Caenorhabditis elegans: one gene and its partner. The protein of the gene in region 2 purifies or fractionates together with the protein of the main gene of each other region. This does not show direct contact. Each region holds a gene or a part of one and is shown on either strand. Other genes may lie near its edges.

What was found.
Region 1: the proteins of mtcu-1 (region 2) and Y51A2D.8 fractionate together in Caenorhabditis elegans (co-fractionation; one large-scale study listed by BioGRID). This does not show direct contact.

Annotation. Positions count from the first base shown.
Region 1 is NC_003283.11:18,548,968-18,559,960, forward strand, and holds Y51A2D.8 (Cysteine proteinase), read right to left. Parts: upstream 4,884-10,993; 5' UTR 4,880-4,883; coding exon 4,734-4,879; intron 4,333-4,733; coding exon 4,252-4,332; intron 3,894-4,251; coding exon 3,530-3,893; intron 2,486-3,529; coding exon 2,291-2,485; intron 2,164-2,290; coding exon 2,073-2,163; intron 1,369-2,072; coding exon 1,085-1,368; 3' UTR 1,036-1,084; downstream 1-1,035. Other genes in the region: ints-5 (Integrator complex subunit 5), read left to right, coding at 1-57; ttr-24 (TransThyretin-Related family domain), read right to left, coding at 6,494-6,631, 6,712-6,839, 7,427-7,586; ttr-25 (TransThyretin-Related family domain), read left to right, coding at 7,821-7,980, 8,722-8,849, 8,918-9,055; ttr-26 (Transthyretin-like family protein), read right to left, coding at 9,899-10,039, 10,093-10,220.
Region 2 is NC_003279.8:14,768,535-14,779,527, forward strand, and holds mtcu-1 (TrmE-type G domain-containing protein), read right to left. Parts: upstream 6,474-10,993; 5' UTR 6,463-6,473; coding exon 6,396-6,462; intron 6,197-6,395; coding exon 5,929-6,196; intron 5,404-5,928; coding exon 5,272-5,403; intron 4,222-5,271; coding exon 3,939-4,221; intron 2,785-3,938; coding exon 2,378-2,784; intron 2,332-2,377; coding exon 2,169-2,331; 3' UTR 2,155-2,168; downstream 1-2,154. Other genes in the region: gpr-158 (G-protein coupled receptors family 3 profile domain-containing protein), read right to left, coding at 1-392; F39B2.5 (SH2 domain-containing protein), read right to left, coding at 6,721-7,008, 7,713-7,831, 7,880-8,004, 8,057-8,103; sur-2 (Mediator of RNA polymerase II transcription subunit 23), read right to left, coding at 8,743-8,868, 9,516-9,938, 10,371-10,835.

The DNA of each region.
Region 1 (10,993 bases), on a different chromosome or scaffold from region 2:
TTCCCGAAAATTTTCCCGTTGGAATTTGAATTTCTGAAATTGTGCAAAGTTGAATAGTTTTCGACTTTTCCCCCGAATCTCGCTGTTTTTTTGTTGTATTTTTATTTATTTATTTGTTTTTATAAACTTAATCTTTAAAAAAAAATTAAATTTTTCCTAAAATCTCGGTCCAAACTTCAAAATTTTGAAAATCTGACTTCAAAATCAGATTCTACGCGAAAAATCACTTCTAGCACGCAATTTTCAGAATTTTAGTGCAAAATGTCGTCAAATCGGGTGTTTTGGGTTACTGTAGCGTGGTGTTTGCGAACTTGGCTCCAAATTTGACGGGATTTTGGCCAAAAATTCTGAAAATCGGGGGTTAGGAGTTATTTAGCGCGGGGAATCGGAATTTGAGCTCAGGTTTGCAAAATTTTCCAGTTTGGGCCAAGTTTTTGTTCCAGATTGTCGAAACCCGAAATTTCAGTACTTTCAAACTTAAAATTCCAGATTTTCAAGTCGAAATTCGAATTCTCCATCAAAAACTACCCCTGAACCCGGATTTTCAGAGCTCTAGTGCAAAATGTCGTCAAATCGGGTGTTTTGGGTTACTGTAGCGTGGTGTTTGCGAACTTGGCACCAGATTTGACGGGATTTTGCACAAAAATTCTGAAAATTGTGGGTAGGGGGTAATTTACCACGCGGAGTTCGAATTTGAGCTTAATTTTTCGAAATTCCCAGATTTGGGCCAAGTTTTCGGTTTAAATTTTAGAAATTTCAGCCAATAAGCTGATTATTTCCCAAAATTGCCTCCTCAATCGGATTCCACGTTGAAGATCACCAACTGCTGGTAAAAGCAAGGCACAAAGCAACTTTTTGAAATTTTGGGCCTGAAATGGCCTGAAATGGCCTGAAACGGCCTGAAGTTCAAGTTTTTCGAATATAGTCGATATGGGTGTTAAATCAACACATTTTTTGCGTAGAATTCAATTTTTTAAGTAAAACAGCTTAAAATTGAAGAGTTTTTGTGAAATTTGAAGAAACAAATTTTCGAAAAAAATAATTATTTTTCATTTTTTTAACAAAAAGAAGTGAGAAAAATAAATTAATAGTAATAGTTATCTTTATGATCTTTGATGTCTCCAGTCATTGGTTGATCCTCAATTGAGCACCAATCCCTACCCCTGACCACTCGAACATATCCCGACTCAGCCCAATCGCCTCCCCAGGAGTTCTTGATAATCCAGTAGTCGTGACTTCTTCCACGGCTATCCTCAACGGTATCGTAACCCACAATTGCTCCGGCATGCCATTGAGTAGCTCTTCTACAATCGTCCTCAATGATCACTCCTTCTTTATATTCTTTGAATTGATCGCCGACTTTGAAATCTGGAATTTTTTTTTTTAATTTCGAGTTTTTTCGAAAAACTTGGAGTTTCTGCAGGTTTTCAGCTAGATTTTTGAATTACACGTTAAATTTGCAAAATTTTAACACCCATATCGACTATATTTCGATAAGTTTGGGTTTTGGGCCAATTTCAGGCCGATTCTAGGCCAAAACAGGCCTGAAAAGAAAGTACTTCATATTCAGCAAAACTTTTGAGTTGGTTATTTAATTTTCAAAATTTTGGCACCGACATCGATTTCGATCGGCAAATTTCGAGTTTCGGGCCGGTTTTAGGCCGGTTTAGGGTAAAATTGGCCTTGAAATGAAATGTTCCAAATATTTTCAAGTTTTCAATTGAATGGTAAAATTGTGACACCAAAACAAAAGAATTTTGAGTATTGAGCCGATTTCAGGCCGAAATAGGCCTGAAACAGGTCTTAAAATATAATTTACTGAAATATAGCCAAAATACTTGGCTTTTAATTGAAATTTTTTTTTGGTACACTAACATGGGCTATAGACTGAAAATTTTGAGTTTCAGGCCGATTTTAGGCCAATTTTAGGCCGTTTCAGGCCCAAATTTCAAATTTCTCCAAATATAGCCAATATGGATGTCAAAACTTTGCAAATTTTTAGGAGATTTTGAATTTAATAATTTCAAAACTCCCGGATGTCCCATGTCCCCCAGTTGGTCCCGCCGACTTACAGACAGCTACTGGGACCTTCCACTCGGTGAGCACCTGGATGATTTGTTCTTCGGCTCGGCGTGGGTTGATTACGGCAAAGTTGAAGGCTCTCTGAACAAAATTTGGTAGAAAATTAAAAAATTTGATTCTAAAAAAAGTAAAAATTTTGAAAAAAAAATTTTTGAAAAAAAAATTTTTTTTTTTGGAATTTTTTCAAATTTTCAAATTTCCAACTCACAGCCGGCACAATTCTGTCAGTTTCTCTTAAACGACATCTTCTGCCCTGGTTAGCCCGATTTTGATCGTAAGGATAGTCTTCATCTCCAGAAAGCCCATATTTCTTGACGTACTGGACTCCGAGGGTCAAGCTTCCTCCCTTACATCCCGGTGTTCCTTCCGTACCGCAATCACAAACCTCTTGGTCAGATAGGGACTGAAAATATTCAAAAATTTACATAGAAATTCAAAAATTCAGTGAAATTCTGAAATTCTGCCAAGTTTAACTGAAAAATTTGAAACTACCGTAACTTTGCCAATTTTTAAGATTTTTTTTAGTTTCAAACTGAAAATTGCGCCTAATTATATGATCTGCTATATTTGTAGTAGTCAATCATGAAAAAATGTCAGTTTTGAGGTTGTAAATGCGCTCCAATGAGAATTCTTACAAATTCTGTTGATTTTGACTAGAAAATTTGAAACATCCGTAAATAGGTCAATTTTCAAGATTTTCTTATTTTTAAAAAAGAAACTAGTGAAATAACATGTGATCTACACTAAATACATTGAAAATTTGAAAAAAAAAATTAGTTTTGGGCTTGCCAATGCGTTTCAATAAGAATATTTCAAAATTTCTCATTTTTTGACCCAAATTTGTGAAAAATCGTATCTTGGCCAGTTTTCAAGATTTTCTTATTTTTCCAAAAGAAACTAGTAGAGAAACATGTGATCTACATTAACTATGCACAAAAAAATAAGAGAAAAGTTAGTTTAGGGGTTGTAAATGCGCTCCAATGAGAACTCCTCAAAACTCTGTGTATTTTGACTAGAAAATTTGAAACATCCGTAATTTGGCCAATTTTCAAGATTTTCCAAATTTAAAAAACGTGTACAATACCAATTTTTGCAAAGTTTAATATTAAAATAGTCAAAGTCTAATAAAATTTAGTGTAAAAGCAGTAAACGCACTCCGCTGAGAACCTACTGAAAATTCGTTCAACTTCGCTTTAAACACTTGAAACTAACGTAACTTTGCCATTTTTCAAAATGGAAAACATAGCAAAAAATGTGATCTACGATATATTTACAGAAAAATAGAATTAAATTTCAGGCTAGAGGGTGTAAATGCGCTCCAACGGCAATGTTTTCTGTTTTCAAAAAAAAATCGAAAAATTCGAGTTTTCACGCCAATTTTTCACCGATTTTCCTCGAACTTTCACAGTTTTCATTCAAATTTTTCAAATAATTGTTTTATTTTTACCTTAAACTTTCCAGAATGTGCTGCATACACAGTCTCCACCAGTGCGGTGACCGCGAATCCCCAGCAACACGCACATTGCCCCTGATCCTTGATCGGGCCCACAATGTATCGCCCGTTGATTTTCTCGTTTCTCAAGTCGAAATAGTCTGGATAGCGTGTTGATCTACGCTTATGGCGTGTTTTATTCATGTCGGCCGCGCGAAAATCCGGTTTTTTCTTGTCGAAGTTGAGCATTGGGAGCCCTGTATTGTTGCTGGGCACTACATTGGACAAACGGCCGTGGAATTCGGCGGTGGATAGGTCAGAAAACTTGTTAATGCCAAATTGGGTGTCATATCCGGCTGCTTTTGACTTTGCGTTTAATCTGAAAAAAATTGAAAAAAAACCGAAAAAAAAAAATTTTTTTGAAATTTTTTTTCGAAATTTTTTATTCAAAAATTTCATTTTTAAACTCAAATTTAAAACATTTTCATTATGAAATTCGAAATCTACGCCTCAAATTACCCCTGTCCCGAAATTTTCAACGCTTTAGTGCAATTTTGCGTCAAATCTGGTGTTTTTGGTTACTGTAGCCTAGTGTTTGTGGACCTTACACCCAATTTGACGGAATTTTGCGCTAAATTTTTGAAAAACGGGGTTAGTGGTTATTTGCTACGTAGAATCCGAATTTCGACTCGAAATTTGAAAATTCTGAAGTTTGGGCCATGTTTTTTTTCACTTACTTATCGACATTGTTGTAGGATTTTACGAAATTATTGAATCTCTGCTGATTCTCCGACTCGTCCTTGTATTTTCGGTTGTACCTGTGAAAAATTATGTTTTTTTTCTCAAAAGTGGCTTAAAACGGCAACAATAAGATTTCTGAAAAATTTTAATAGAAATGTTCAATTATTTCTGAAAATCGAAATTTCAACACTTCAAAACCATTTTTTTTTTGAAAAATTATGTAAAAATTCGAATTCTCCACCCAAAATTACCCCTGCACCCTATTTTTCAACAATTTCGTGCGAAATGTCGTCAAATCCGGTGTTTTGGGTTACTGTAGCCTGGTGTTTGCGTACCCGGCACCCGATTTGACGGGATTTTGCACTAAAATTCTGAAAACTCAGGCGTAGGGGTTATTTGCTATGGGGAATCCGAATTTTTAATTGATTTTTCAAAATTTTGAAGTTTGGGCCAAGTTTTCGTTATTAAAAAAACTCACTTTTTTTTAAAATCCTCAAAAGCCTTGTAGAGCTTCTCCGGATGGTCCCGATCGATATTAATTTCAAAAAATTCGGGTTCTGTAATATTGATGGAAACTACCCCTGAAATGGGTAGAACCACCAGGAAAATCACGAAAACTTGCATTTTCGCGGCGAAATTTTGATTGCCTCGGGCTACGGTTGGCTTTTAAGCTTCCGAGTTTTATGGCCGAAATCGTAAAATTTTCCACTTTTTCGGGGGAAAAAGTTGGAAAGATCGGGGTGATTCTGCACATTTCGACATCGAATTTGTTGGGGTTCTTTTATAGATTTTTGGTGTTGACAGGGGGTTGAAAAATTAATTTATGAGCAAGTTATTGAAAATTTTGATTTTTTTCAAGCCTTGTTACATGAAAATTTGGAATCTTCATAAAATTTCCGTTTATTTGACCCCCATATTGGCTATATTCGAGGAAATTTGAATTTCAGACCAGTTTTAGGCCGTTTCGGGCTTTTTGGAGCCCAAATATCAATACACTCAGTTTAATGCCAGTGCGTTTGTAGTAATTTGCCAACTTGTATAAGGAACTACTAAATTGGTTATGTTTGCGGAAAATTGAATTTCAGACCAGTTTTAGGACAGTTCAGGCCGTTCTAGGCTTGAAAACAAATATTGACGGGTATATGTCGATAATTTCAGCAAACGTTTTTGAAAAATTTGAAACTGTGAAATAAAAGTTATTTAAAGGAAAGTTTTGTATTTCAGGCCATTTTCAGGCTCCGGGCCGTTTTTTGCCCAAAATTTCAAAGTTTGTAGAACATAGCCAATATGGGTTTCAAAACTAGGCAAATTTCATGAAGAACACGAATTTTGAGTTCATATTTCTCAAAATTTTACCGGGTGTCCCCGAATGTCCCATAGGTGTCCCATAAGTGTCCCACTCGTGGTTTTCAGGCTATATTTGTCAGAAGTTGCTCTTTTTTTACAGAAACACTTGCATAGATGTAGTTAAGCGTTTATATTGCAAATTAAAACATGAAAAATGGTTTAATTTTGAACGGTTCAAATATTTTTCCAAAAAAAATTTTTTTTTTAATGTACATGGCAATATTTTTTATATCATTTTTATGGATTTGACATTTACATCGGCTATATTTCAAGAAACTGGGCTTGTCGAAATGATTTGGACCGATTCGGGCCGTTTCAGGCCGTTTCAGGCCTGAATTTCTAGATTTTCTGGAACTGCGTTTTCACTTTTAGGTTTTTCTTATTACTGCAAAATTTCTACACTTACCTTGACCTAAATTCGTGGTGCTCATATTTCAAGTCTAGAACGGCCTGAAATGGCCTGAAATTGGCCTGAAATTCAACATTTCATTGTTATGCAAGTTAAATCAAAAGGCTGAAAATTATCTTGAAGTTTTAGGTGAAGAAAATCTATTTTTCAATAAATTTTGAGTTTCGGGCCAGTTTCAGGCCGTTCTGGGCCGTTTTTTGGCCAAAACGTCCAAATGTTCAGAGTATAATCAATATGGGTGTTAAAATTTTGCAAATTTTATGAAGAACACGAATTTTACATTTTTATTGTTTAAAATGTCCCCTGGTGTCCCCGAATGTCCCATAGGTGTCCCATAAGTGTCCCTCTCATGGTTTTAGGCTATATTTGTCAGAATTTGCTCATTTTTTTTACAGAAACACTTTAAAAATTGTAATTAAACGTTTATTTTATGAAAAATGCCAATTAAAACATAAAAATTATCAAAAAATTACAAAAAAAGTTTAATGAATGCAATCAGTGCCCTCTCCTGGGTATCTGTTAGCCAAATTGAGGGTTCCGATGTCGAAAAGTTGAGCTTCTTTGGATCCTTTACCAACTGCATTTTTTGGAACATGAATAGTCACTTTTTTTGGGCAGAGCTGAAAATTTCAAAATTTTTGAATTTTTTTTAAATAGGAAAAAAATCGAATTTTTTCAATTTTTTTCTCCAAAAACCTACTCCAGAATAGTTGCATTTATGATAAATATTGATTTTCGGGTCAATCTTGCGGATTTTATTCTGGGATCCCGAGACCTTGAATGTTCCATCAGCAATTGTTTTCACCGAGTCCATTTTCGTGTCGTAGACTGCAGAAAATTGTATTTTTGTGAAATAAAATGTTCAAAGTTAACATTTTTGTTGTTAAAACTAGGAAATTCAGATTTTCCAGGTCAAGACAAGAATTTTGACACCCATATTGACTATGTTCGGACAAATTTGAATTTTGGGGTGTGTGACCGCGACGCGACCGCAACGCGGCGAAAATTGAAATTGCATTTTTCATGCTTCAACGCGGTAAGTTTTTGAGTTATGATTAATACAACGTCTTTGTTCAAAAATGTTTGCCATTGTGGAGCTTTACAATAATTTTTGCATTTGACACGCGACGCGACCGCACCGCACTCAAAAAACCAAAGTTATCCGAATATAGTCGTTATGGGGGTCAAATAAAAGCTAAGAACGTCAGAAATACAAAAATCGTAATTTTGATCCTTAAAAACGAACTGCTCTAATTTTACGGTAAATAGTGACTATTAGAAACCGCGACGCAACCGCGCCGTGCCCTAAAACCAAAAATTGTCCAAATACAGGCAATATGAGTGCCAAATTGAAGCTAACAGCGTGGTGAGACATTTTCAACTTGAAAAAATCGAATTTGAAACTTTCAACTTACTAGTTCCATCCTCGAAAAGCTTCACACGGACGTCTCTAGCCGGTGCTCCGTTACAGACCAGTTTGCCGACCACAGTGACCGTCTGTTTACTCCCAACAATACCTCCCAAGGCATCAGTGAGCAGAAAAACAGTGGAAATGAGCAGAATTTCTTTGAACATTGCTCAGGAGTCGACCGGGAATCGATAAGAAATCCAGGAAAATGATAAGAAATCAGGGAAATCAGACGAGATGAGAAACGGATAAAAGTCGGCGATTAGGTGATTATCTAACGGAACAGTTGTTGTTTAGTGTAAACATGCCGCTGGGGACCAGAAAAACATGTTTGTCACCCGAAAATCCCATAAAAACCGGGAGCAAAACTCACGGAAACTTCCTGAGAATCTGCTCAAACGATGCTCAAACTTTGTCTGCTCTTCCTTGCGACTTTAGCCGTGGCTCACGGGCTCGGCGGAATTGTTGGTAGAAAGCAGACGGTTACTGTAGTTGGTAAGCTCACTTGCAACGGCCAAGCTGTGAAGGATGTGAAGATCAAGCTGTATGAGGATGGAACTGGTGAGCCATTTTTTTTTCCAGTTTTATGTTTTAATTTGTGTATTTTTGAAATTCTGACGTTCTTAGCTTTCATTTGACCCCCATATTGCCTATAATCTGACAACTTTGGTATTTTGAGTGCGGTGCGGTCGCGTCGCGGTTTCTAACCGTAACATTAGAATAGTTCGCTTTTAAAGGTTGAAAATACGATTTTTGAATTTTTGACGTTCTTAGCTTTTGTTTGACCCCCATTTTGCCTATGATCAGACAACTTTAGTTTTTTGAGTGCGGTGCGGTCGCGTCGCGGTCGCTCAAGTTCAGAAGCAGTCGTAGCAACGAAACAATCAGTTTCTGGAAATCAAACGCGTGTATTTCCTTAATTTGTAGTTTATAGCTCTCATTTAACACCCATATTGTATATATTTAAAGACATTTGATTTTAGCCATGCGTCGCGGCCGCGTCGCGGCCGCTCAAATTTGCAAACAAGCGTATCACTGAGGACTGTGCACGTTTGAAGACATAAAAATTTCAGTATCACTAATACAAACTTAGAAATCTCAAATAAACATTAGTTTATTCAACATTTTGAAGCAAAAAATCACCGTGCGTTGCGGTCGCGTCGCGGTTTAACCAAAATCTTCAAAATTGCCGGAATATAGACAATATGGGTGTCAAATTGAAGCTATTGACGCCACGAGTTTGAATTTTGTAAAATCCTAGCGATCTGATCATTTTTGGAAGCAAAATGCCCCAAATTGCAGTCTATGACACCAAGATGGACGTTACAAACACATTGGCAGACGGAACCTTCAAAGTAGTCGGCGGCCAGAATAAAATTCGCAAGATCGACCCAAAAATCAATATTTATCACAGATGCAACCACGTCGGAGTGAGTTTCAGCGAAAAATTTCGACTTTTTTTCAAAAATTTTACTGAAAAAATTCTCAAAAATTTCAGCTTTGCCCGAAAAGGGTTACCATTCATGTTCCGAAGAACGCAGTTGGCAAAGGATCCAAAGAAGCTCAACTTTTTGACATTGGAGTTCTGAATTTGGCCAATAAGTACCCAGGAGAGGGTACTGATTGCATTCATTAAACTTTTTTTTTGGAACTTTTTGATAACTTTTATGTTTTAATTGGAATTTTTCATAAAATAAACGTTTAATTACACTTTTTAAAGTGTTTCTGTAAAAAAAATGAGCAAATTCCGACAAATATAGCCTAAAACCACGAGAGGGACACTTATGGGACACCTATGGGACATTCGGGGACACCAGGGGACATTTTGAACAATAAAAATGTAAAATTCGTGTTCTCCATAAAATGTGCAAAATTTTAACACCCATATTGATTATACTCTGAACATTTGGACGTTTGGGCCAAAAAACGGCCCAAAACGGCCTGAAACTGGCCCGAAACTCAAAATTTATTGAAAAACAGATTTCCTTCACTTAAAACTTCAAGATAATTTTCAGGCTTTTGATTTAACTTGCATAACAATGAAATGTTGAATTTCAGGCCTATTTCAGGTCATTTCAGGCCGTTCTAGACTTGAAATATGAGCACCACGAATTTAGGTCAAGGTAAGTGTAGAAATTATGCAGTAATGAGGAAAACCTGAAAGTAAGAACGCAGTTCCAGAAAAACTGGAAATTCATGCCTGAAACGGCCTGAAACGGCCCGAATCGGTCCAAATCATTTCGACAAGCCCAGTTTCTTGAAATGTAGCCGAAGTAAATGTCAAATCCATGAAAATGATATGAAAAATCTTGCCATGTACAAAATTTTCCAAAAATGCTTGAAATCTCAAAATTTAAAAAATTTGAAACTTGAAAAAAATTTTTTTGTTTTGGAAAAAATATTCTAACCGTTCAAAATAAAACAATTTTCAAAATATACAAATTTGTTTGCATTTTTTATACATATTAAAGCCAAATTTTTAATGAATACAATCAGTAGATTCTCCAGAGAACTTGTTAGCCAAGTTGATAGTTCCAATGTCATAATTTCTAGCATTTTGTCCGCTTCCGCTGACGACAGCGTTTTTTGGAATGTTGATGGACACTTTTTTCGAGCAGAGCTGGAAAAATTTGAGTTTGAAATCGAATTTTTTTTTTGAAATAAAAAACTCACCCCGTTATAATTGCACTTGTGGTAAATGTTGACTTTCGGGTCGATTGTTCGGATTTTATTTTGATCTCCGGATACGCGGAATGTTCCGTCTGATCCAGTCTTTACACTGCCCATTTTGCTATCGTAAACTGCAAAAAAAATTTTTTTTTTTTGGAAAATTTTTTGATTTTCTGAAATCTGTTAGACTACGATAGTTTTGAGTGGAAAATTTGGATTCTCCTAAAAATTTGCAAAATTTTGACACCCATAATGGCTATATTTGAGGAAGTTTGGATTTCAGGCCGGGCTCAGGCCGTTTCAGGCCGTTTCAGGCCATTTCAGGCCGAAGCTTTTACGATTTTGTTTACAATTGTTTTTGACCCATAGTTTTAATAAACAGTATACATTTAGAGCTCAATCTTCGTAAAACTTGATTTCGGGCCAAAAAAGGGCCTGAAACCGCCTGAAACTTAACCACTCCCGAATGTAGCCGATATGGGTGTTAAAACAACGGAAATTTAGTGGAAAAATTGGTTTTTTTAAAACTAAAACAACGCAAAACATCAAATTTATAGAAAATTTGAAGAAAAACACTTTTTTTTAAAAATTTTTTTGGGCCAAATTTCAAATACCGCTTGTTTCCAGCATAAAAGATGTTAAAAATTAGCTTAACCTCTAAATTTGCAAAAATTTAAAACCCATATTGGCTATAATTGAGCAAGTATGAATTTCAGGCCGGTTTCAGGCCGTTTCAGGCCGTTTCAGGCCGTTTCAGGCCTTAAATATTTAAAATTAAAACCAGTTCAGATTTTCTTAGTGTTTTAAAATTATGACAACTACTTCTTAGCATTTTGAATATTGAGCCTTATTCGGCCTAAAACGGCCTAAATCTGGCCTGAAATTCGTGGTGTGTCGAATATAG
Region 2 (10,993 bases):
CAATTGAGCTGTAGCCCATAAAAGTGTGTTCTTCTTGCAAACGAAACATCGAATGGTGGAATTTGTTGAAATGACGATTTGTCAAGAAGCTGCGGATCAAAATTTTTTGAATGATTCGCAAAAAAGTGTGCAAGTTGAATAAGCCTAGGAAATTTCAGTGCAACCGCTGTTGACAGAAAGTGCTCTGCTTCAACTACATGCCCACATGGGTAGGGTTGATCTAGCGAGCTGAGGAGCTCGGTCAGCGGCTGTCCACCTTCAGTAACGGTGTTACGCGCCCCGAATGTCGGTGATATATGAAACAAGGAATACTGTAGAAAGATAATAAATATGTGATGATACCATGGAGTGTATGACGACGATGACGACGTCGTCGTCGTCGGACGCCTCATCGATTCAGAGTGTGTGCTCTGCTGGCGGCGGCGACGGCGGCTCTGTGTGTGTGTGCAGCAATAGCCCGTGTGCTGCTGAAGGGAGAGGCTCCAGGCCGTGAGAGGACCCTAGAAAGATTGAAGAGGTGACAGACACAATGAGAAACTTTGTGCTCTTGTAACGTCTGCGTCGTCTTCTCACAAAAAAAGGAAAAGTCTTCTTCTTCTTCTTCTTCTTCTTCTTCTTTGCTCAAAAAGGAGAAGACGTTGAAAAGATAGAAGGCGTCCCCCCTCCCATGTATTACACATGAGTGTCTTGTTTTTTTATTTATTTTCGGATGGATTGGGGGGAGGGGGGTGTTAGTTAGCCTAAATGCATTCGCATACACACACACACACATTCAGAACAAAATAAATCTTTTGTAACGACTTAATGTAATGAGGACCTCAGTTGACTAACCCCATACTTATATCTTTAAATGGGTTCTGTGGATGAATATGGTCTTTAAAATCAACATTATGGATCCGATATACACGGTATACGCCAATATATGGGTCACAAGTCAGCACATTGGATTTTGAAAAGTAATACTTGTCTTCGTCTCTAGCTGAATTTGAATCCAACTACAGTGCTGGCCATAAAGGTATGTACAAACGGTTTTTTCATGAATATCGGGTGGTGTTTAATTAAGCATAACTCAAAACTGAACATTTTTTTCGAAAACGGTCAACTAACAAAACGTTGGTCATTATGTTGTTTGCATTATCTGATAAGTATTATTTTACATAACTACCTTGATGGACTATTGTTAGTATCCCAAAACACATTCTAAAACTGAATGGCTTTCACTGATTTGTGGGAATTTTCCCGATTTCTAGATTTGATCAATGAGTCATGAGACAAAAGGACGGAGAACAAACAATACTATAATACTATATACGATCCCAATTTCTTTTTCACACACACATACTTTTCACAGAAACAAAACCTTTTACAGAAAATAGATGATACTTGTGCAAAATGAGACGTTTTGACAGAAATCGGGAGTCAAATGAGATATGAGTGTCTGCTTTCCCATAATATAATTAGGCACTGGAAAAGAGACAAGAAGAGAGAGAGAGAGAAAAGAGTTCTTAAGGAGACTTCTACCGTTGTAGTTTTTGAATTAAAAAACGACTTTTTTTCTTTTTCACTTATTAGTGATTTTGAACAACTTCAGAACATAAATTTTTTTTGACCACAAAAAAAGGGCGAAACCAAAATGTTGAAACTCTTCTAAAATGGTTAATTTTATAGCTAGGCGACTCAAAATTTATCTCCAAACAATAAAAAATTGCCTTTTTTCAGAATATAGTGGTTTTGCACACTTTGAGAAAAATTATTTTTTTGCCCAAAATAAAAGAAAAAGGACAGTCATTAGATGGCCGAAAAAAAATTTTCAGAAAATCTAGGTATAACCCATCAAAAACTATTAAAAAATGGCAAAAATGGGCAATTTATGGCAAAAATTCACAACTTTGAAACACATCTAAAATGGGCAATTTTGAAGTTAGATGACTCTAAATTGATCTATAAAGACTAAAAAATTGTCCATTATCAGAATATAGTGGCTTTGAACATTTTCAGAAAACTTTTTTTTTTGCCCAAAATAAAAAAAGGACAGTCATTAGATGGCTGAAAAAAAATTGGGCAAAAATCAAAAGGTGAAAACGGGTAATTCATACACGCTGAATTCAGAAAATCTAGGTTTAACCCAAAAAAAAACTATTTAAAAGTGCCAAAAATGGTCAAAGCTTTTATTTTCCGATACAAAATTTGCTAAAAATTCCATCTAGAACACTTTCAGTGACAATTCCCTCGGTGAGCTCTCCGATTTGTTCCAAGGCAACTTCCAGATGTGAACACATGATTGCTGCGTCGTTACACGTTACAGCTGACTCCAATTCGAATGAGCATCTTCTGAAATTAAAACAACTTTGAATATTATTTTTTGACAAAAAAAAACCTTAACAGATCTGCATCTAGTAAATAACTTGCTTCAGGACACAGATCATCTACAATTTCTCCCAAACAGTTTTGAAGTTGTTTGCAGCCAGTATCTGTGGTAGCATTTGTAGATACAGTAGTGAAATTTGAGGGAAGTTTTGGATACTTCAGACTCAGATCAGACTTATTCTTTGCAATAATCACACGAGCTTCGCGATTTCGCATCACTTCCACGTCATTCAAAATCGATTCAACATCGTCATCCGACGTGAATTGTGGATCCACGACAACGCAGATAATGTCAGCTGATTGGATTCGTTTTTGAGCACGTCGAATACCTTCTGCCTCAATGACGTCATTAGTTTTTTGTCGAACTCCAGCAGTGTCTGTGAGACGGCATCGAACTCCGTTAATTTGAATGATTGTCTGTAAGATTTTCAATTAATGTTTGGAACATTTTCCAGGCACTCTAGGAGTACTGTAGGATTACCGTAGTTTTCGAAAAATTGACTTTTCGTCTTTTGAGCTACAAAATTGCCCGTTTTAGAGAAGATTCAAAATTGTGAATTTTTGCTATAAATTGGCCATTTTTGCCACTTTTTAATAGTTTTTGACGGGTTAAACCTAGATTTTCTGAATTCAACATACATAAATTACCCGTTTTCAACAAATTTAGACAACTTTTTATTTTTGCCCAAATTATTTTCAGCCATCTAATGACTGTCCTTTTTTTTTATTTTGGGCAAAAAAATAATTTTTCTGAAAATGTTTAAAACTACTATATTCTGAAAAAGGTCAATTTTTTTATAATCCTAAATCAATTTTGAGTCCTCTAGCTACAAAATTGCCCATTTTAGAGAAGATTCAAAATTGTGAATTTTTGCCATAAATCTGCCATTTTTGCCACTTTTTAAAAGTTTTTGACGGGTTAAACCTAGATTTTCTGAATTCAACATACATAAATTACCCGTTTTCAACAAATTTAGACAACTTTTTATTTTTGCCCAAACTATTTTCAGCCATCTAATGACTATCCTTTTTTTATTTTGGGCAAAAAAATAATTTCCCTAAAAATGTTCAAAACTATTATATTCTTAAAAAGGAAAATTTTTTTAATGTTTGCAGATCAATTTTGAGTCCTCTAGCTACAAAATTGCCCATTTTAGAAGAGTTTCAAAATTGTGAATTTTTACAAAAAATTGGAATTTTTGCCACTTTTTAAATTTCAAAATTGTGTGTTTTAGAGGAGTTTCAAAATTGATTGTTCAAGGGAACGTGGCTAGGGTACTGTAGTAGTACTGTAGGGAATACTGTAGGATTACTGTAGGGTTACTGTAGTTGGAGAAAAACTGGTTTTTCGTATTTTGAAGGGTTATTAGTTTGGTGTTAATAGGGGGATATGATTGGAGTACTGTAGTAGTATTGTAGGGAATACTGTAGGATTACTGTAGTTTTGGAAAAACTGATTTTAGTTTCAGAAAAAAAAATCGCAAAAGAAAATTTGATTGAAATTTTTTGGTTAATTTTTGAAAAATTTGAAAAATTTTAACACTTCAATAGGTTTATATGATCATTTTTACTTCCAAACTATCTCTCGTGGTTCCAGGAATCGAGCTAACAATTGCCACGTCATCATGCGCTAACTGATTTAAAATGCTTGATTTTCCGGAATTCGGTCTTCCATAGAGCACAATATCCAATCCACGTTGAGCCCGTTCTGCACCATCCCACGCTTTGATCATTCGATTGAGTTCATGAAGAATTTCAGAGACATCTTGTTGAGCTTCGCGTAATTCCAAGTTCACGTGTTCTCCAAAATCAATGATCACAAATAGTTTCGATAGAATTTGAATTAATTGCTTCCTGAAATTGAGAGTAAATGTCAGGGGTATGCGGCACGAAGTTTTTGTCGACAAATTCAGCAAATTGGCAAATTGCCGGTTTGCCGAAAATTTCAATTCCGGCAATTTTCCGATTTGCCGGAAATTTCCAATTCCGGCAAATTGTCGATTTATCGGTAATTTCAATTCCGGCAAGTTGCCGATTTCCCGGAAATTTCCATTCCAGAAATTTGTCGATTTGCCGGAAATTTCAATTCCAGCAATTTGCCGATTTGCCGGAAATTTCAATTCCAGCAATTTGCCGATTTGCCGGAAATTTCAATTCCAGCAATTTGCCGATTTGCCGGAAATTTCAATTCCAGCAATTTGCCGATTTGCCGGAAATTTCAATTCCAGCAATTTGCCGATTTGCCGGAAATTTCAATTCCAGCAATTTGCCGATTTGCCGGAAATTTCAATTCCAGCAATTTGCCGATTTGCCGGAAATTTCAATTCCAGCAATTTGCCGATTTGCCGGAAATTTCAATTCCAGCAATTTGCCGATTTGTCGGAAATTTCAATTCCAGCAATTTGCCGATTTGCCGGAAATTTCAATTCCAGCAATTTGCCGATTTGCCGGAAATTTCAATTCCAGCAATTTGCCGATTTGCCGGAAATTTCAATTCCAGCAATTTGCCGATTTGCCGGAAATTTCAATTCCAGCAATTTGCCGATTTGCCGGAAATTTCAATTCCAGCAATTTGCCGATTTGCCGGAAATTTCAATTCCAGCAATTTGCCGATTTGCCGGAAATTTCAATTCCAGCAATTTTCTGATTCGCCGGAAGTTTTCAATACCGACAAATTGTCGATTTGCCGGACATTTCTATTCCGGCAATTTGAAAAAATGTATTATTGAAAAGCTCGTACGATATCATAAGTTTTAATGAAATTTTTAAAAATCCCTATAAATCTTTTTTTTTCCTTTTTTTTTTAAGTTTTTTTTTCCAAAAATTCCAAATCTCGAGGGATTTTTTTGTTTTTTCAAATTGCTTGCGAACAATATAAAATTCCAATTTTTCTCACTTCAATACCTTATTTCAATAGCTCGAACTCCACCACGCATTTGACCAAATGCCGCATTTCGTTCTTTTTCGGTTCGAGATTTAATTAGCCGATCGATTCCTCGAACCTCGGAAATGCTCAATTTTCCGTTGTGAAATGCTCTGTAAATTAACTAAGAGTTATTATAGAGACCCAAAATGTGCATTTAAATGCATTCAAAATATTTTGAAACAGATGTGCAAGCGCGCTCAACTGCGGAAAGTTTGGAATTTTTATTCGGCGGCAAAACCAAAAACTCTAATGTTATTTTGTTTTCATGGTTAAATGAAAAATTAAAGCACTTTTGGACATTTTTTCAACATAAAATTAATTAATAAACGACAGGAAACATAACAAAAATAACGAAAACTTATTGAAAACGTTCGAAATTACGGTTTTGCAGCAGCCAAAACCTAGCGAGACCCAACTTTTAGCCGTGGAGCGCGTTTTAACCAGGGGTGGACGGCAAACAATTTTTCCGGCAAATTGGCAAATCGGCAAATCAGCAAATTGTCGGAATTGAAATTTCCGGCAAATCGGCAAATTGCCGGAATCGCCGAATTTGTCGAAAAAAATTTGCCGAACGGCAATTGCTGCCCATCCCTGGTTTGAACCCCGATTTTTGAAAATCGTATGCTAATAATAACCTCCTCGTGAATTCTCCTCGCTTCGCTTCTCGAACATTTTGAATTCCAGCCAAACATGAGGCAAACTTCACGGCCACGGCCTGACTTCCATGTAGAAAAAACTCGGCTGTGTCTTCTCCGGTAAACGTTTTCGGGCCGGGAAGATATACCGCCATTGCTTCATCGATGATTTTGCTCTCTGAATCGTACAATTTCGTGTATTTCATCGTTTTCGGCTTCCAAACTTTTCGACGGCTCAGCTGGCGGAGTACGGGGAGGCTTTGTGATCCTGGAAAAAATACTGTGAATACTGTGAACAGTAAGCTCAGAAAGCCTTTTTTTGGGGGGGGGGGGGGTTTCGCAAGAGCATCGTACGAATTTTTTCAGAGATTTTTATATTGTTTATGGCTATTTTGGCAGAAATTTTTTCAAAATGAACCATTCGTAACCTAATGGAATTTTTTTTTTCAATTGTTCTGAAAATTAACCTGAAACGCGGAACATCGCAATTGCGCTTGGCAATGTGCCAGACGATAGGGCGAAGATTGTCGACATTTTCTAAATGCCTGAAAAAATTATTCTTTTCCAATTAAAAAAAAATTTGATTACTCGAAAGGTTCTTTTTTTTAATTTCAAAATTTTCACGATCTTAAAAAAATGTTTGAAAATTTAATAAAAAACAGGATCCGTGACAATTTTTCTGGAAAGAAACCGAGATTTTATGAATATATAACTTAAATTTGAGAGAAAAAAGTTATTTATTAAGCATTCAAAAAAAACCCCGTAATTCGATATAATTCAAAACTAAAACAATTAATTATTAATTACACAAAATCTTAATTTCAATTGCTCTTCACATTTCTTCAAATCAGGAATAATCCATTTCGAATCACTCAAATACTTTAAAATCGTTGGTGGCAGAGGAGCTGTTTTGGGTGTCGGTGGTTTTTGTTGACTCGTTTTCAGGGTAAATCGACAGAGGTACTGTAGTGATGGTAGAAGCTCTCGTTTTGTGAGTGGACGTGTTAAATTGACACGCGCTGCTTCGGCTTCATGTCCACGTCGATAGTGGAGCATTTCTTGTTGTCCTGTTAGGGATTGCTGAAAAAAGTTTAGTGTTTTTTTCCGAAAAACTACGATTTTTTTTGATTTTTGAAACATTAAATTATTTTTTTGCTTGAAAAACTCAGTTTTTTTCGGATTTTTGAAAAAAAAACTAATTTCTGAAAAAACTGAACTATTTTCTTTCGGGAATGTGGTTTTTTTTGTGAACAAAAATGGTGATTTTTTAATTTTTTTCTGCAAAAAAGTGAATTTTTTTTAGAACAATCGATTATTTTTCTCGTGATTTTTTTTTGGTTTTTCGAAAAAAAAAGGATTTTTTCTCGATTTTATGAAAAAAAATGGTTGTATTGTGTTTGATTTGTTTTTCAATTTTAATTTTTAAAATTATGTTCCGAAAAATTTTTTTTTGATTAATACTCTTTTTTAATTTCTAATTTTGAGAAAAAAAGGACATACTTTCGGAAAATTTGAATTTTTTTAGTTTTCGAATTTTTTAAAAAGAAAAATAATTATTTTCACTTAAAAAAAATAGTTTTTTTCCGTTTTTCGGAAAAATAATTTGCTTTTAAAAAAATATATTTTCGATTTCCGGAAACATTTTGGGAAAATTTCGATTTTTTTTAACTCTTCGAAAAATATTTTCGACCTTTTTGGCCTGTCACAATTTTTTTTTAAAGTTTTACTCTTTTCCGATTTTTTTAAAATCAAAAATCATAGATATTTTTAAATGTACTACATACCTCTAAACTTCTCTCAATAATTTCCACAAGATTCCAATAGTCACGTGAGACGTATGGCTGCCGACTACCCAAATTCCGTCGTGAATCTTCAAGTGACAAGCGCGAATGATAGACTCTATCTGAAATTATATTTATTTGGAAAAAATTGATTTTTTGAAAAACAATACCTTGAAAATGATAAGAAACAGTGAAAAGATGAGTTTCACTTCGACTGTCTCGAATTAAAAAATATCCGATTGGGCACAAAAGGAGCAGCCGTTCTGCCCATTTCCAGTCCAAATCTCCCCAATACCTGGAATAAAATAGGCATATTTAAATCTTTTTTCAGTTATTTTATTGTTTACCAATCACAATCGTAAAGATCAGAACAAATCACCTTGTTGGAGGGCATAGGAGCATTGAAGGAAACTTTTGTTACTGAAAATAGTTTCAATCTTAACAAAATTAATTGAATTTTAAAATTGAAGATTGTCGATTTACGGAAGTCGTGTACTCCACGAGGAGAAGATTATGATCCGATTCTTTCCGAATTTAATGTTCAAATCGCAATTATATCTCTTTTTCAAAAAACCGTCGCTGTTTCCAGGCGTGGGCGCCATATATTATTAAATCAGCAATTATTTTGCATGAAAATGGAAATTCCCGGCAAATCGGCAAATTGCCGTAATTGAAAGATTCCGGCATATCGGCCAATCGACAAATTTGTTTGAATTTAAAAAAGAAGCCAAAATCCAAAATTTAAGCAAAACATGCAATTTTGACCAAAACCATTGATTTTTCACTTATCCTCGGGGAGTACACGAGCTGCGTAAATCGACATTGTACAGTGTTAGGGGTCGAGATATTGAAAGATTTTTAATCTTTAAATTGAAAAAAAGATTGAAAAAGAATAAGAAAAATAAAATTTTATGAAAATTTTGAAGTAAAAAACTATAAACAATAATAAATATATGTACATAACCGTAATCAGTGAGATTTTTCAAATATATGATGGTAAATTGTAAAAAACTAGGTAAATTATGAAAAAAAATTAATGAGGTTGCTGTTGGTGTTGATGGTGATGCTGTTGTTGCTGTTGCATGTACTGTTGATGTTGCTGATGTTGTTGAAGTTGTTGCATGTAGAGATATTGCTGTTGAGGAGTCATGTTTTGCATCTGGAAATTTTTTTTGGAATTCGAGGATTTTTGGAAAAAATTTTTTTTTCGGAAATTGTGTTTTATTTTTGCAAAATACATCGAAACCCCTTTTTTGAAGTTTTAGGAAATTTAGCTTTTTTTTTGGAATTCTTTGATTTTTTTTCGGAAAAAAAATTGAAAACCATTTTTTTTTAATGTTTAGGAAATTTTGGAATTTTTTTTGGAATTCTTTGATTTTTTTTCGGACAAAATTGAAAACCTTTTTTTAATTTTCAGGAAATTTTGGATTTTTTTTTGGAATTCTTTGATTTTTTTTTTGGAAAAAATCGATTTAAATTCGAAAAATTCAATTTTATTGAATATTCTTTTAAAAATGCGGGGTAGAAAAAGAAATTTACCGAAACTTTTGAAAATTTGGTTTTTTAAAGCTTATGGAATTTCAGATTTTTCAGATGTTCTGTAAGATTGGAATTTTTTTTTGGGAATTTCTAAAAGTTGGAGAAAACTTTCAATTTGTTTTTGTTGGAAATTTCGAAAATTTTGAAGTTCTCAAAACTTTTGGGAATGTTTAGAACCTTTTTTTTATTTTTGGAATTTTCGAAAAAATTTTGAATCTATCAAGTGATTTTAAAAATTATTTTTTTCGAAATTTTCCAAATGTTTACCATAGGATTCATTGTATGCATAGGTGCCGGCATTTGCTGATGATGTGGAAGATGTGGGTGCTGTTGCATATGATGTCCCATTCCATATTGCATTGGGACATGTCCCACAGGTCCAGATGGATGATGAAAAACTGCACCAGGATATTGAGGTCCCATTTGTTGATGCATCGACATATTCGGAATTTGATGTTGAAGTTGTTGTTGAGTAGGATGATTTGATTGTTGTTGAATTGTCTGATGTTGTGATGTATCCATCATTTGATGTGTAGATGTATGATGTTGTAGATGATGTTGAAGTGAGGATGAATGTTGTTGTGGTGGAGGCATCATTTGATGTGATGGTAGTAGTGGTGCTTGTTGTAGATGATGTTGCATTTGCGGTAGTGAGGAAACGGAAGGTGTTGATTCGAGAGGTTGGTGAGCCTAGAAATTTGATTTGAGAAATAGTGATTTTTGACCCAAAATCGAGTGTATTGACCAGAAGTGTGCGGATATTAGCCGATTTAGCCGAATTCGCGGAATGGCTGATTCGGCTAATATTAGGTGATTTATCCGTTAGCCGCGGTTTTTTACCAATTAACCGAATTAGCCGACTTTTTGGCAGTACGGCTAATTTGAAGTTATCCGGTAGCCAATTTTGAAAATTTTGCTCAATAGTTATTATTTTCTTGTGATACATTTTTTCCATAATAACTACATCAATACTTATTGATAAATTCATTATTAGAAATTACCTGGTTACACTCGATTTTAAATACACTTGAAATCACTACTAATAGTTATGGTCTTGCTTCAAGACTAAAAAAACTGTAAACTTTCAGAAAAAAAAAATGACAGAATTAAAACGAGTATTACTTTGACATGTTGCTCTTGTTCCTGCTCCTTCTCTTTTTCCGGTGATTTTTCCTTTTCCGGTGGTGTTTCCTGCTCTGCAGTTGGTTCTGATTGAGACACATAGAACTTGAGACGATCTCTCATTTTTTCGGGAAGCTTTGCGAATTCAGTGATCGCCGTATTCCTCAAAAAGTCTCCGGCGAAGAAATATTTGCAATTGTAGAACAAATCACACAGGTGCTGCTCGTACACAATTTCAACACCTTCTTCGGCCATTGATCCCAACTTTTGGAAGACAAGCTTCACAATGTGAAGAGGTCCGAAATTTTCGCGTTGTGATCTCATTTGCTTGGCAGTGTCCCAATTTTCATAGTAGCGACGGAGGTATGGCATGACGAGGCGAAGTGTGTACCAGAGGTCCTTCTCAGTTTTTACGTGCTCCAGAATTCGAGGGACGTATTCGTGGGAGAAGAAATTGAGAAGAGACTGAAATTTTTAAAAAATCAGTGTTTTGTTACGTGCGTGGCAGAGTTCGGAAAATATACCTTTTTTCAGAAAAATTGTTTTTTTCCAAATTTTTCCGAAAAAAGCCCAGTTTTCAGTTTGTTTTTTTTTTCGAAAAAAAATTGTTACAATAATATTTT